Drosophila melanogaster: one gene and its partners. Changing the gene in region 3 together with the main gene of any one other region gives a genetic interaction. Each region holds a gene or a part of one and is shown on either strand. Other genes may lie near its edges. The genes, in order: lok, Uev1A and nopo.

Region 1 (3,600 bases), on a different chromosome or scaffold from region 3:
CAAACTTACTCAGCCCGAAATCGGAGACCTTCAGTAGGGTCTCCTCGTCATTGGTCTCCAGCAAAACATTGTCAGGCTTAAGGTCACGATGGGTGATGCCTGAAAGGTAGAAACTAGTTAGTTGAATAATTCGATTGATGTGTTCGCAGTAGTCGTACTAGCAAATTCGTAAAGGCGCAGGAATGATTTGCAATTAAGGGCGTTTTCAATGACCATTCCGAAGACTTACTTATTTGCATAACAGAAATGAACGGCTTGCTTAATCAGCAACACATTCGAACCCAAATAAAACTAATTTGTTTTACCCCGATCGTGTAGGTACTTGACGGCATGGCACATTTGGTAAAAGTAAAGCTTCGAGATGTCCTCGCTAAGTAGTTTGTTGCTGATGATCCGGTTAAGCAGGTCGCCGCCGCGCATAAACTCCAGCACCATATACACAGAATCCGGCTTGTCCACGATGTCGTGCATGCGAACCACGCACGGATGTGAAAGATTCTTCATAATCTTGGCTTCGTTCAGCACCCGGTCGGGATCACTGAAATTGGTACTGGGTCGCGCCCCAGAGAGCATATTCTTCTTAACGATTTTCATCGCAAACTGCTGGCAGGTGCGGGTGTCATAGACCAAACGCACCAGTCCGTACGCTCCAGATCCCAGCTTGCGATTTACATAATACGTCTTGTTAATCTCCTCGGGAAGCCCGATCGACTCATTCGGGCTGAGATCCTTGAATACAAAGGCTACAAGGGAGGGCAGGTGCAAAACATCAAATTACTTGCGAGTCCTTGTCGATAGCTATACCTGCTTGTCGATCGCTTACCTTTGTACGTTGGGTGGGACAGGGAAATTACGTCGTCATTCTTTAGGATTCGCATCCTGTTTGTGCCAATTTTCTCGTTATTCACAAACGTCCCGTTGCGTGAGAGATCCTGCGAAATGGGCGGAAACAAGGTTACTACATTTTAATAATATACGGAATTATACGGAATAGTAACTTCTTTTTGTAAATTAATTGTGGGAAATATTCAATATTGAAGTTACCTTTTTTGATAATCTCAACAAAACATAAATAAAACTTAATTTGAATTCTGCTCTTGTGGGTTCTGAATTTGCTATCTTTTTTTTCAAGGCTTCCTTCAGAGCTTTTGGGTTTGGAACTTCCACCTACCTGAATATAAACTGGATTGGTAAGTTCGCAGTTTGCCCGCTTTATGATAAAATGCACTTTGGAAATGCGCGTCAGGATTTTCTCGGGCAAATCGTTGAGCGTGAGGATCAAGTCGTTGGCCTCCCCTCGTCCTGCGGTGAACTCGTCGTTGTTGAGATCTGCAAACAGTTCAGCATGGGATCGTCATTAATACATGAGGAGCACACGCAATGGGGACACAAAACAGGAGGAAATGTGGTTACCAACAGAAAAGGACGAATGCGTATAAATGATTCGGTATTTTGAACTCGTACCCAGCGATTTGATCTTAATGTTCTTGCCGTACAATCGACCCCAGACTATCTTCTCCATCGGCTGGCTCTCCACCTGCGTCCAGATATTGGAGGCCTGACTCTGGGTTCCCTGCGTTCCTTGTGTGTCGCGTGCCATAGTGATTCCAAAACTCCGAAACTCCGTAGCCCCGTAATCTCGTATTCCTGCTATTCCGCAAGTCGAACTGGAAAACCCGTTAGGTTTGCCTGGAACTGCGTAAATTCGAAATGTCCAGTTACTCCAGCACTACCACAGGCAGAAATGCACACATACACGAGGAGTCCGATCTTCGGAAAAGCTATAGATCTATAGAAGCTATGGGTTTGAATCTCTGAGCGTTTCTTCTGCCCAATTCGATTACATCGAGCTTTTCGCACAGCGCTGGCTGATAGTTATTTAGAGTTTATCAGACGAAAACAACGAAAACTAACAAAAATCACGACATTGGTTCGATGTGAACTGCGCGAGGGACTACAATTTCTGCGGCAGTGTGTGTAAAAGTTGCCGCCTTCCAGGGATGGGGTGATTATCAGCGCCAGTGTTGGCAAGAGTCCCAAGGAAAAATTAAGGGTTTTTACAAATTAAATATTGCTTAGGTTAAGACTTTATTGTCAAAAGAAAAAATACTAATTAACTACCGGACTGAAAATTATATAAAAAACTAAAAGTATTGAAACAGATTAATTCCTTTACAGATCGTAGTTTCTTTAATATGGTACATGTATTTGAAATTTAACGGCCATCCATTGTTGAAATCCATTCAGCACTGGCAGGACCTGTGCAGCCCTGAACTTAAAGAAATTCCATTGTAAGCTATCGTGTTTTTATTCGATTTCGAAGCTTTAAGGTGTAAATTAAGTTTGTTTATTTCATTTTTCTCATATGATAAAATTATGTATCATGTTTATACTAGTTAATTATATTCCGCAATACTTTATAGCTAATTCTTTAGCGATTTTCCTGTCCATATTATCTAGCTAGCTTGGCACACCTTTAGTTTTAACCAACACTGAAATGCAGCCCTAAATTGCGGCGTCGTTTGAAAGAAACTGTAAACTATTACCAATACCAGCGCAAAAACAGAAATAGACAAAATACAATCAACAAATCATCAAAAAACAAAAAATTCAAAACTGTCGAATTGGGATCACAGCTATTATTAAAAGTGAGTGTGCTTATTAACACTCTCCAAAACCATCAGCCTACGGCAACCAAAATTCCTTGTGCTGTTCTCTGACTTCATCTCTGATTTATCCACTTCCTTGAAAGGATGACTCTGCCCCGCTTAGAAACTCCGCTCAGGCGGTCCGCAGTAGGCAGTTACCAGGAGGGGGTGTCCCGCATGCTAACCCCCTTTAACGACGACGAGGCGGAAAGGCGGGAAGCCCGACGTCGCACGCTCCTTCAGCAGCATCACCGGTCGAGCACTCTGGAGTCCATCGAGGACAATGAGACCATCAAAAATTGCTTGGAGCTCTACAATGGCAACAAGGTGAGCAAGGACAACGCCTGGAACCTGATGCTCATCGATTCGTTGGCCAATTTGCTGGATCACCATCACAAGCGCATGAGCAACTTCAAGGTGGGTTTTGCCTCATTCAGTTTATGTAAATGTAATAATTTCATGATGTTATACCCTAGATGGCTGGTTCCTCTTTAGAAGCCTCTTCCAAGGTTTACGGCCTGCGTGTGGACTCCATCTACTTGGACGCCATGCGCATTTCAGCTGGCTTGAGTGCACGAACTCTTACGGATAAGCAAATAAATGCTGCCGAGGATGATGATGGCCCCCAAGGTGAACAGGCTACTGGCGAGGGTCAGGACTCAGCGCAACAGGCAGCAAAAGAAGCAGCACCGAAGCCCAAACGGCAAAAGAAACCCATATCCACCGTGACCAAAAACAGAGAAACGCTGAACAGCCGGCTGGATACGGCTCCCTTGCAGGATCCTGTGTTTGGCAAGCTGAACTCCACTGTGGGCTCTATAAATGCTTCCAATCGTCTGATGCACAACATTCTTCCTAGTTTCGACTCTGAATTGCGCTTGCGTACCACCTACAATTTTTGGAACAGCGAAGAGTCCACCGAGGAGGTCCAGGACCACACTACACTCAATGC
Region 2 (3,830 bases), on a different chromosome or scaffold from region 3:
GTAATAAACACAAGAGTTTGCCATTAGCTTTAAATGATTCTTGAATGATTCAATACTCTGTGCACTTGCGGCCAGAGTGTCGATGAGTCAGGCGCTCCCATTCCCCTTAGTCCACCGCTTCTCCACTTTAGTTGCCAATGCAACTAAACCAAGTTGGGGCTCTGTTAGAAGACCCTGCCACCCAAACTCCTCAATGATTCATGCGGCGGCGCGCGCAACACTTCTAGACTATACAAAAATTAAATGCAAATTTAGTTTTCCGCCGCTTTCCTTGCTAGTAATTCAAGGCTAGAGCCTTGTTTTCCCCAATAAATGCATGTAAAGTGGAATATTTTCTTGTGAATAAAATAAGAATAAATTAGCACGAGCGTTTCTATACCTATATTTTCTAGCAATAATCCCAGATTGCAGCTTGTAGTTTTCATATAAGATTAAAATCTAGCAGAGGTACATTTTATATTCATATTTACCACATAAGAAGCTAATGAAGCCAATGACTTTTGAAACCCACACTCACAATGAGTTGCATCAGCGGTGCTAATGAAATGCAAATATTATCAAATTCCATCGCACTGAAGAGATAAACTGCCTTCAAAGATACAAGGTGCTATCCAAACTGAATGGTCTGCGCAATCTAAGCGATAAGATGTCAATAATCCTACAGAATTGCCTAATAAACCGGGCTTATCTGGTGACGTAGCGAGGAAAGTCCAATCGATATGGAAACTTACTCTAGGCGGACCGATGATCATGCCGATCCAGTAGGTGAGCGTCATGTCGTCGTCGTTCTCCAGGCCCCACGATATGGTGCCATCGCCCACGCCCTTCTGGCCCTGATCCAGCTCCTCCAGTAAGCGGAAATTCCGTGGCACCACTGCAATGTGAAACGGCAAAGAGGTGAGAACTCGATGACATAATGCATTTTCACTGAAAAACTTAAATCTTTAAATATAGTCATTAAGTTAAATGTCAGCTTGTTTTTAATTTTCTGGTTGGCGGGGCAAGAAAGTACTTAGCTTTCTAAATAATTATAATCACGGGCTCGTACAGATAAGATACATATATATAATTATAAACGACAGTTTTATCTATTTAGAAACAAACTAGTAAGGACTGTTCTACACATTTTCTATGGTATAAACCATTTTCGGTGATATTTCGGCGACTTTTCCTCTCAGTGTGGGGTCATATGGGTACGTGTTGTTGTTGTTTTGCGCTCTGCTTCTCGTGTTGTTTTTGTTTTCGGCCGTGTGACTTTGTACGCATTTTCGTGCAGAGAACACAAGTCAAAAAAAAAAAATGCGAAGCGCAGATATTAAGCACGATGGGCGCGGGGGGAGGGTGTGTCGGCGGGGGCGGGGCGAAAGCATAATTTCTGCATTTGCAAAAACAATCCAGGCAAATGTAAATGGCAGCTAATTTAATTAGAAAAGACAAGGCAGCTTGCAAAAACGCAAGTGTGCAAAAAATAAGGAAAATAAAGAAAAAACTTTAAGTATGAAGGCAAGAAGAAGAGCGTGCGCGAGCGAGCGAGCGAGAGCCACATAGTGAGGAAGGAGCGGGGATGATATTTCGGAAAATGTCAAGTCACGAAGCCCAATTGCAACGGAGTTTTTCCAACGCCAAACGCGGCCAAGGAAAATTGCAAGAGCAGCGTGGTCCGCTGGCGAAAATAAATTTCCATTCGCCCATTTCGCTTTTATCGGCTTTCGTCTTTCGCCCTTGCTTTCGTCTTCTTTTTGCCCGTTTTGCACCACACACACAATCACATTGCGGTCCGCTTGTCGGGTCCGTAGCGGCGGAAAAATCGCCGCCGGTCAGCGGGAAATGCAGAAAACGGATGGCCAACAACTCCGGGCGTGCGGGGATCGCATTTTTAAGCTGCCAAATTGCTAATTTATCAATTTTATTTCTTACCAACGCCGGTACTTGATGTATTCGCCATTGTGGTTAATGCTAAGTGCTAAAATACCGTAAAAGTGTGCTAACGCGTTTCCAGTGCGATGTGACCAGTGCGGTTTAGGTTTTGCTTGGCTTGCTTAACAACTCTGATTTTTACACCGTTAACAGTGGTAACACTTAACAGCGCCGTCAAGTGCAATATTTGGTCACTAATTAAAAATCATTATTTAACAATATATAGCATATTCTCTGAAAATAAAAAGGAAATTTAATAGTTGCATTAGCTGATAAGTTTGTCATAATATATGGTCATACCAAAAACGGCAGCCAGCTGCTCTGCTATCAGTGCTGTTAACTAACATGACACTCTGTCCAATGTTAACGCGTCAGCTTTTTTAAAAACAAACCAATTGCAACCGATTAAATATTAATTTGCGAATATTCTCGGGCCCATAAATTAATGCGGAATCAATAGGTGTAACGACATGGAGAGCTTGTACCACCAAACCAACAATGTGGTAAAGGACATCGAGCGCGATTTCCAGCGACTGAGTCAGCTCAGTGCCCAGGAATCGCTTGACGTGGAAAACGGCATTCAATTGAAGATTACCCAGGCGAACGCGTGAGTTCTACAATGATATATATTATCCCAAGAGGAGTTTGTATTATTAAATAAATCTTTTGTGTTTAGAAACTGCGATCGGTTGGATGTGCTGTTGTATAAGGTGCCACCTTCGCAGCGACAAAGCTCCAAACTTCGTGTGGATCAGCTGAAATATGACCTGAGACACCTGCAGACATCACTGCAGACGGCGCGGGAACGAAGACAGCGACGGATGCAGGAGATCTCCGAGAGGGAACAGCTGCTGAATCACAGATTCACGGCAAACAGCGCGCAGCCGGAGGAAACGCGCCTGCAATTGGACTACGAACTGCAGCATCATACGCAGCTGGGTAACGCCCATCGGGGTGTGGACGACATGATTGCCTCGGGCAGCGGCATTCTCGAGAGCCTGATCTCGCAGAGAATGACGCTGGGCGGAGCGCACAAGAGAATCCAGGCGATAGGCAGCACACTGGGTCTGTCCAATCACACGATGAAACTTATTGAACGCCGGCTGGTCGAGGATCGTCGGATATTCATCGGAGGAGTGGTGGTCACCTTGCTTATCATCGCCCTGATCATCTATTTCCTAGTGCTCTAATCTGAAGACATCGCGTTTAGTTGAGTTTAAATTAAATGTACTCTATTTTGTAAAATGTTAAATTAACAATTGATCAATTGTGGATTAATCCTCGGCCTCCAGTGAGATATTGCTGCCGAACCGCTGGTACAGATGAGCCTTCAGCTCGTCCATTTCCGCCTTGATAACCTTCGCCTTGGCCTCCACGCCGGCGATCTCCTTGAGCACCTGCTCCTTGGTCTCCTTCAGCATGTCCTGTGTTTTCTCCAGCTTGTGCGAGAGGAACACCTCGCCAACCAGGAACGGTATGTCCTCGTCCTCGTCGAACAGCTCAATCTCCTCCAGCGCCTCCTCCAAGCTCTTCAGCTCATTGCGCTTCGTTTCCAGCTCCGCTTTGAAGTCATCCATGCGGGCGTTGTGCTTCGCAAAGCGGTTGATCCGCTGCTGATCCTCGAAGGAGATGTGCACGTCATCGTGCTGAAAATGCGATTTAAAATATATATCATAAATTTCAATTGAGCAGATGCACAGAAAAAACCATGACAAAGTGAGGTTACTTTTCATCTTAGTCAGCTGTCCTTTGATGATTCACCCATACTCACGTTCTGGAACACTTTGTTCGTGCCGCTCGCTACTTTTGCTGCCATTTTCCCGTTGGTTTTAATTAATTTAATAAATAATTTATGATATTTTACAAACAGTTGCTGTTTTCGGTGCTTCGCAAAAAATTTTATTTGTTTAACA
Region 3 (3,830 bases):
CGAAATTTCTCGATGAGAAGAGCAGGGCGAACTTTAGCGCCGTATCACCATCGCTAAGCGCCTTGTCGTTCAGGTACTCCATTGACTCACTGAAAATTGCAAATACAATTAGTTTATTTACTTTTCATTTATTAGTATGTTATAATAATCAAGTCTACTACTACTTCATAATGTTAAAGTTTGCACTACAACTGTGTTTAACACCCCCACTGATATAACGCATAGCAGCATTGTTTGATAAGCCCAAGCTGCGAACTATTTGTTCAGCAATTAACTCGAGCATGAGCCTGAGAGAATCGGAGGGAAAAATGTTCACTTTGAAATGATTCGATGGCGCCGATGTCTCTCTGCCCGTCTTTATTTGTATGAAAAGTTGTAAATTTTCAAGACACGCTGACGTTCGAGCAACCTGGTCGCAAACAACGAACTCGTGCACGAACACATATACACAAATACAGTGCTTTTCAGATTTATAAATCGATTTTTAGACATTTAATAAAATTGAAATGTATATGTAGAAGGTCGCAAAAACTTTTTCGAACCTAAAAATAATGAAGTAAGAAGAAAAGTTTACAAAGTTGCACTTTAAGAACCCAAGGGTTCTTGAACGCGTAAAAACAAATTAACGTTTGAACTTGATTAGTAATTCGGTTTCTGCATTTCAAGCATTTCATTATTGGAATAACTTATAGAATGCTGTAACCTATGGGCGAACGCCACAAGCTCCCAAATTTAACGAATTACTCATGCTACTTGTAATGGAATGTCATAAATATTACAATAAGGATCGGTCTTCGCCAGGCAGATATGTACTGCATGCATTAAGTCTTGTTATCACATGGCTGGCTTTGATGGGCTTGGGAGCTCGCCTTGCCCATATGCTATCGCACCGCACTGTACCTACGCCGGGTATTTACATACATCCATATGTATATGCGAAAAGAGGTGGCAAATAAACACACTACTTATGATATGATTAATCATCAATGAGCGAACCAACCAAACGGTAGAGATCGGCACACATACCAAAGCATAGACTCGTCGCGCACTATGTTGCAGAAGTCCGTTTCGATGGTCTTGATCTTGGAGTTCAGCACAATGCCATCGTCCTGCAGATCAAGGTTCCTCATCAGGGCGATGATGTGGTCGTAGGCATAGCCACCTGTTTGATTTTGATAGGCGGCGGGGCCAGTGTTCAGGATGGTACAAACATCCCGGAGGCGCGCTCCCGTTCCCTCACCACCGCCCCCGCTACCGACACCACTGTGCGAACTGTGACCACTGTCCACCGCACTGTTGTTGTAGCTGTTGTTGCCGTAGGAGGTGGTGTTGCTGCTGCCACCGCCGCCACTGTTGCTGCTGCTGACCATGTTGTTGGCCATTTCCATTTCTCGCCGCGATCACTGCCGTTTGTTGTTGTTATCGCACGGTTGTTTGTCTGTCCCTTCCACACACACTTCAGTGTCTGTTATATTGGTACGCGCGTGTGTGTGAGTCGTCGGTCCACCAAATAAGAATCAGCGTTGACAAAGGTGTCGAAATGCGCACGCCAAATGAAACACCTTTTCGCTCAGCTTCCGCTTTGGGTGCAGGTGCAGTTAGCTCACTGGGACCCACGGTCGATTGAAACGCAAATAACGAACGAAATTAAATGCACAAATTTATAACTATTCCTATTTATTATTGCTATTTGACGACTTTTAAAAGAGGTGGAAAAACATCGATGTGTTGTGTTCTTTAAAACATCGATGTTTCTCCACCTCTAGATAGCATTGTCGCGATATCGAAAGCACACGGTGTGCTTTCGTAAATAGCGCCACAGTGCTCCCGCTGTTATCGATAAGACCACCATGGGGCTAAAGTACGGAGCATAAGTAGCTGGATTTAAGATGGATTGGCAGAATAAAATATGAAATTTATATCCACAGTATATCTTAAGAAGTAGGGTTTAAAAAGTATCCACACATACATATCTTTCTAAAATTTAGGATGAATTTTAGTTTCAGTGGCTGAGTAAGCGTATTTGTAAACATTATTTGTTGTTTCGACTTAAGCCAAGTTAGTTAGCAATTAGTTTGTCGTGGAAATATCTATCAGCTAACAGTTATTGTCTACAATCGATTCTTGACAAATACTGGTGTGGTGAATTCCGCTCATTGGAGCATCGTAAAATCGCCATCAGTCAGCTGTGTTTCGTTGGGCGCGCAAACTGTTCGGCGTGCGTTTATTTGTTGTTCTTTTGTAATAACTATTTTTATGTAGTTATTTGTGCCAAAAATGTTGAACTTAAACTGCGTGATATGCGCCGAATTGTTTGGCCAGGCCGACGAGGTTTTTGCCACAGTTTGTGGTCATATGTTCCACCACAACTGTCTAAATCAATGGCTCGATCGGTAAACAACGCATAAGGATATTTCTGATTCCCGACAATAAAATCAAATATCTTTCGCAGATCAAAGACCTGTCCTCAGTGCCGGAATAAGTGCACTACCCGCAACATATTTAGGGTCTATTTCAATCTGGCCAACTTGGATGTGAGCCACATCGATGTTGGTTCACTGCAGGAGCAGCTGGACAATGCGATGTTGTCCATGAAAATGGTCGAAAAAGAGCGCAACAAGGATGAACAGCAGATTCGGGATCTGAAGGAAACACAAAAGAAGTGCCTGTATGCTTTTGTATACACATTGCCTTAAGTACCAGACTGATGCATTTCTCATTTGCAGCAAAACCATAGCCGGTTTGGAGCAGAAGGTGCAAAAGAAGGATTTTCTCATCAGCAGCTATGTCGAGCAAATTGGCGTCCTCAAGAGTGATGCCCATGTCGTTGATGGGTTGCGCAAGGAAAACAAAACATTGAAATCACAGATCCAGAGTATGGAAGGCATATCGGCTATTCTGGCGGCTGGCTCGGCGGATGCCGACCGCTTGCTCAAGAACGAGGCTGATCCACATGTCCTAGCCAACTGGGTGTCCACTCTCAAGAGGGAGTTGCGACAATGCGAGAGCAAAAAGACGGAGCTCAGGAATGTAGTGAAGGTGGTGCAGAATGATCTGCGAAAGGAGATCGAACTAAAGCGGTATGCTCACAACATTCCAAACGTGGTTTTTATAATTGATATGTGCTCATTCGATTGCAGCAAGCTGGAAGAGCGTGTTTCACACCTGGAGAGCGACCTTTACCAGGCGCAGGAGAAGGTTTGCTGAGCCTTCTTTAACACAATTTCGATTAAACATACTATTATCTTTTCAGCTACAAGCTTTTGAGAACAAGACCGCTTACTTGGACTCACCAAATGCCTCTTGTGGTCTGAACAGCAACATTTTGGCCCTTAAAAGGGAGGAAAGGCGTACCACTATTTCCCCTACAGTTGTGAGTAGACACGAATAAACGAAAATATAAGCTACTAATATTTTGCTGCCCTACAGAAGGAGAATATTAAGCGCATCGAAGAATCCACCTCCCCATATCTCAACATTAAATCCAGCAGCGTCGGGTTGGCGCATCTTCTTAATACTAAGGGTAACATTGGGCTGGCCAAGTCTAAAATATCGCCCATCAAGGGAGTCGGTGGCGGTGTGTCTATGACCAGCGGAACCATACGGAAAACCAGCAGTGATCTCAGTGAAAAGGTAAACGCAATAATTTTGCCGAATTCCACTTAACCATTTAAAAATTCCGTATATTCCCCCAGTATTCAATCTTCAAGAAGCCAAGACTGCTGCTGGGAAGTTCAAGTAGTTCTGCGTTGACGGCCACGACGGGCTCAAATTTTGTCTACAATGGAATGGGCGGTTCTGAGAAGGTTGACCCCTTTGCGCAGCGCGCC

The links.
Region 1: of nopo (region 3) and lok, changing one suppresses a phenotype caused by changing the other (phenotypic suppression), as found in Drosophila melanogaster (one study listed by BioGRID).
Region 2: of nopo (region 3) and Uev1A, changing one suppresses a phenotype caused by changing the other (phenotypic suppression), as found in Drosophila melanogaster (one study listed by BioGRID).

The regions. Positions count from the first base shown.
Region 1 is NT_033779.5:20,059,877-20,063,476, reverse strand, and holds the start of lok (loki), read right to left. Parts: upstream 2,056-3,600; 5' UTR 1,757-2,055; exon of another isoform or gene 1,696-1,756; 5' UTR 1,601-1,695; coding exon 1,414-1,600; intron 1,330-1,413; coding exon 1,172-1,329; intron 933-1,171; coding exon 824-932; intron 744-823; coding exon 306-743; coding exon of another isoform or gene 292-305; exon of another isoform or gene 159-291; intron 100-158; coding exon 1-99. Other genes in the region: barr (barren), read left to right, coding at 2,754-3,065, 3,125-3,600. UniProt on the Drosophila melanogaster protein: May have a role in germline establishment.
Region 2 is NT_037436.4:5,364,212-5,368,041, forward strand, and holds the start of Uev1A (Ubiquitin-conjugating enzyme variant 1A), read right to left. Parts: upstream 2,015-3,830; 5' UTR 1,946-2,014; coding exon 1,918-1,945; intron 1,351-1,917; exon of another isoform or gene 1,143-1,350; intron 875-1,142; coding exon 732-874; intron 1-731. Other genes in the region: membrin, read left to right, coding at 2,388-2,524, 2,594-3,107; Pfdn4 (prefoldin 4), read right to left, coding at 3,192-3,563, 3,689-3,733.
Region 3 is NT_033778.4:18,178,445-18,182,274, forward strand, and holds the start of nopo (no poles), read left to right. Parts: upstream 1-2,172; 5' UTR 2,173-2,277; coding exon 2,278-2,393; intron 2,394-2,452; coding exon 2,453-2,668; intron 2,669-2,726; coding exon 2,727-3,080; intron 3,081-3,140; coding exon 3,141-3,198; intron 3,199-3,253; coding exon 3,254-3,373; intron 3,374-3,429; coding exon 3,430-3,633; intron 3,634-3,695; coding exon 3,696-3,830. Other genes in the region: CG5726 (uncharacterized protein), read right to left, coding at 1-89, 1,027-1,388.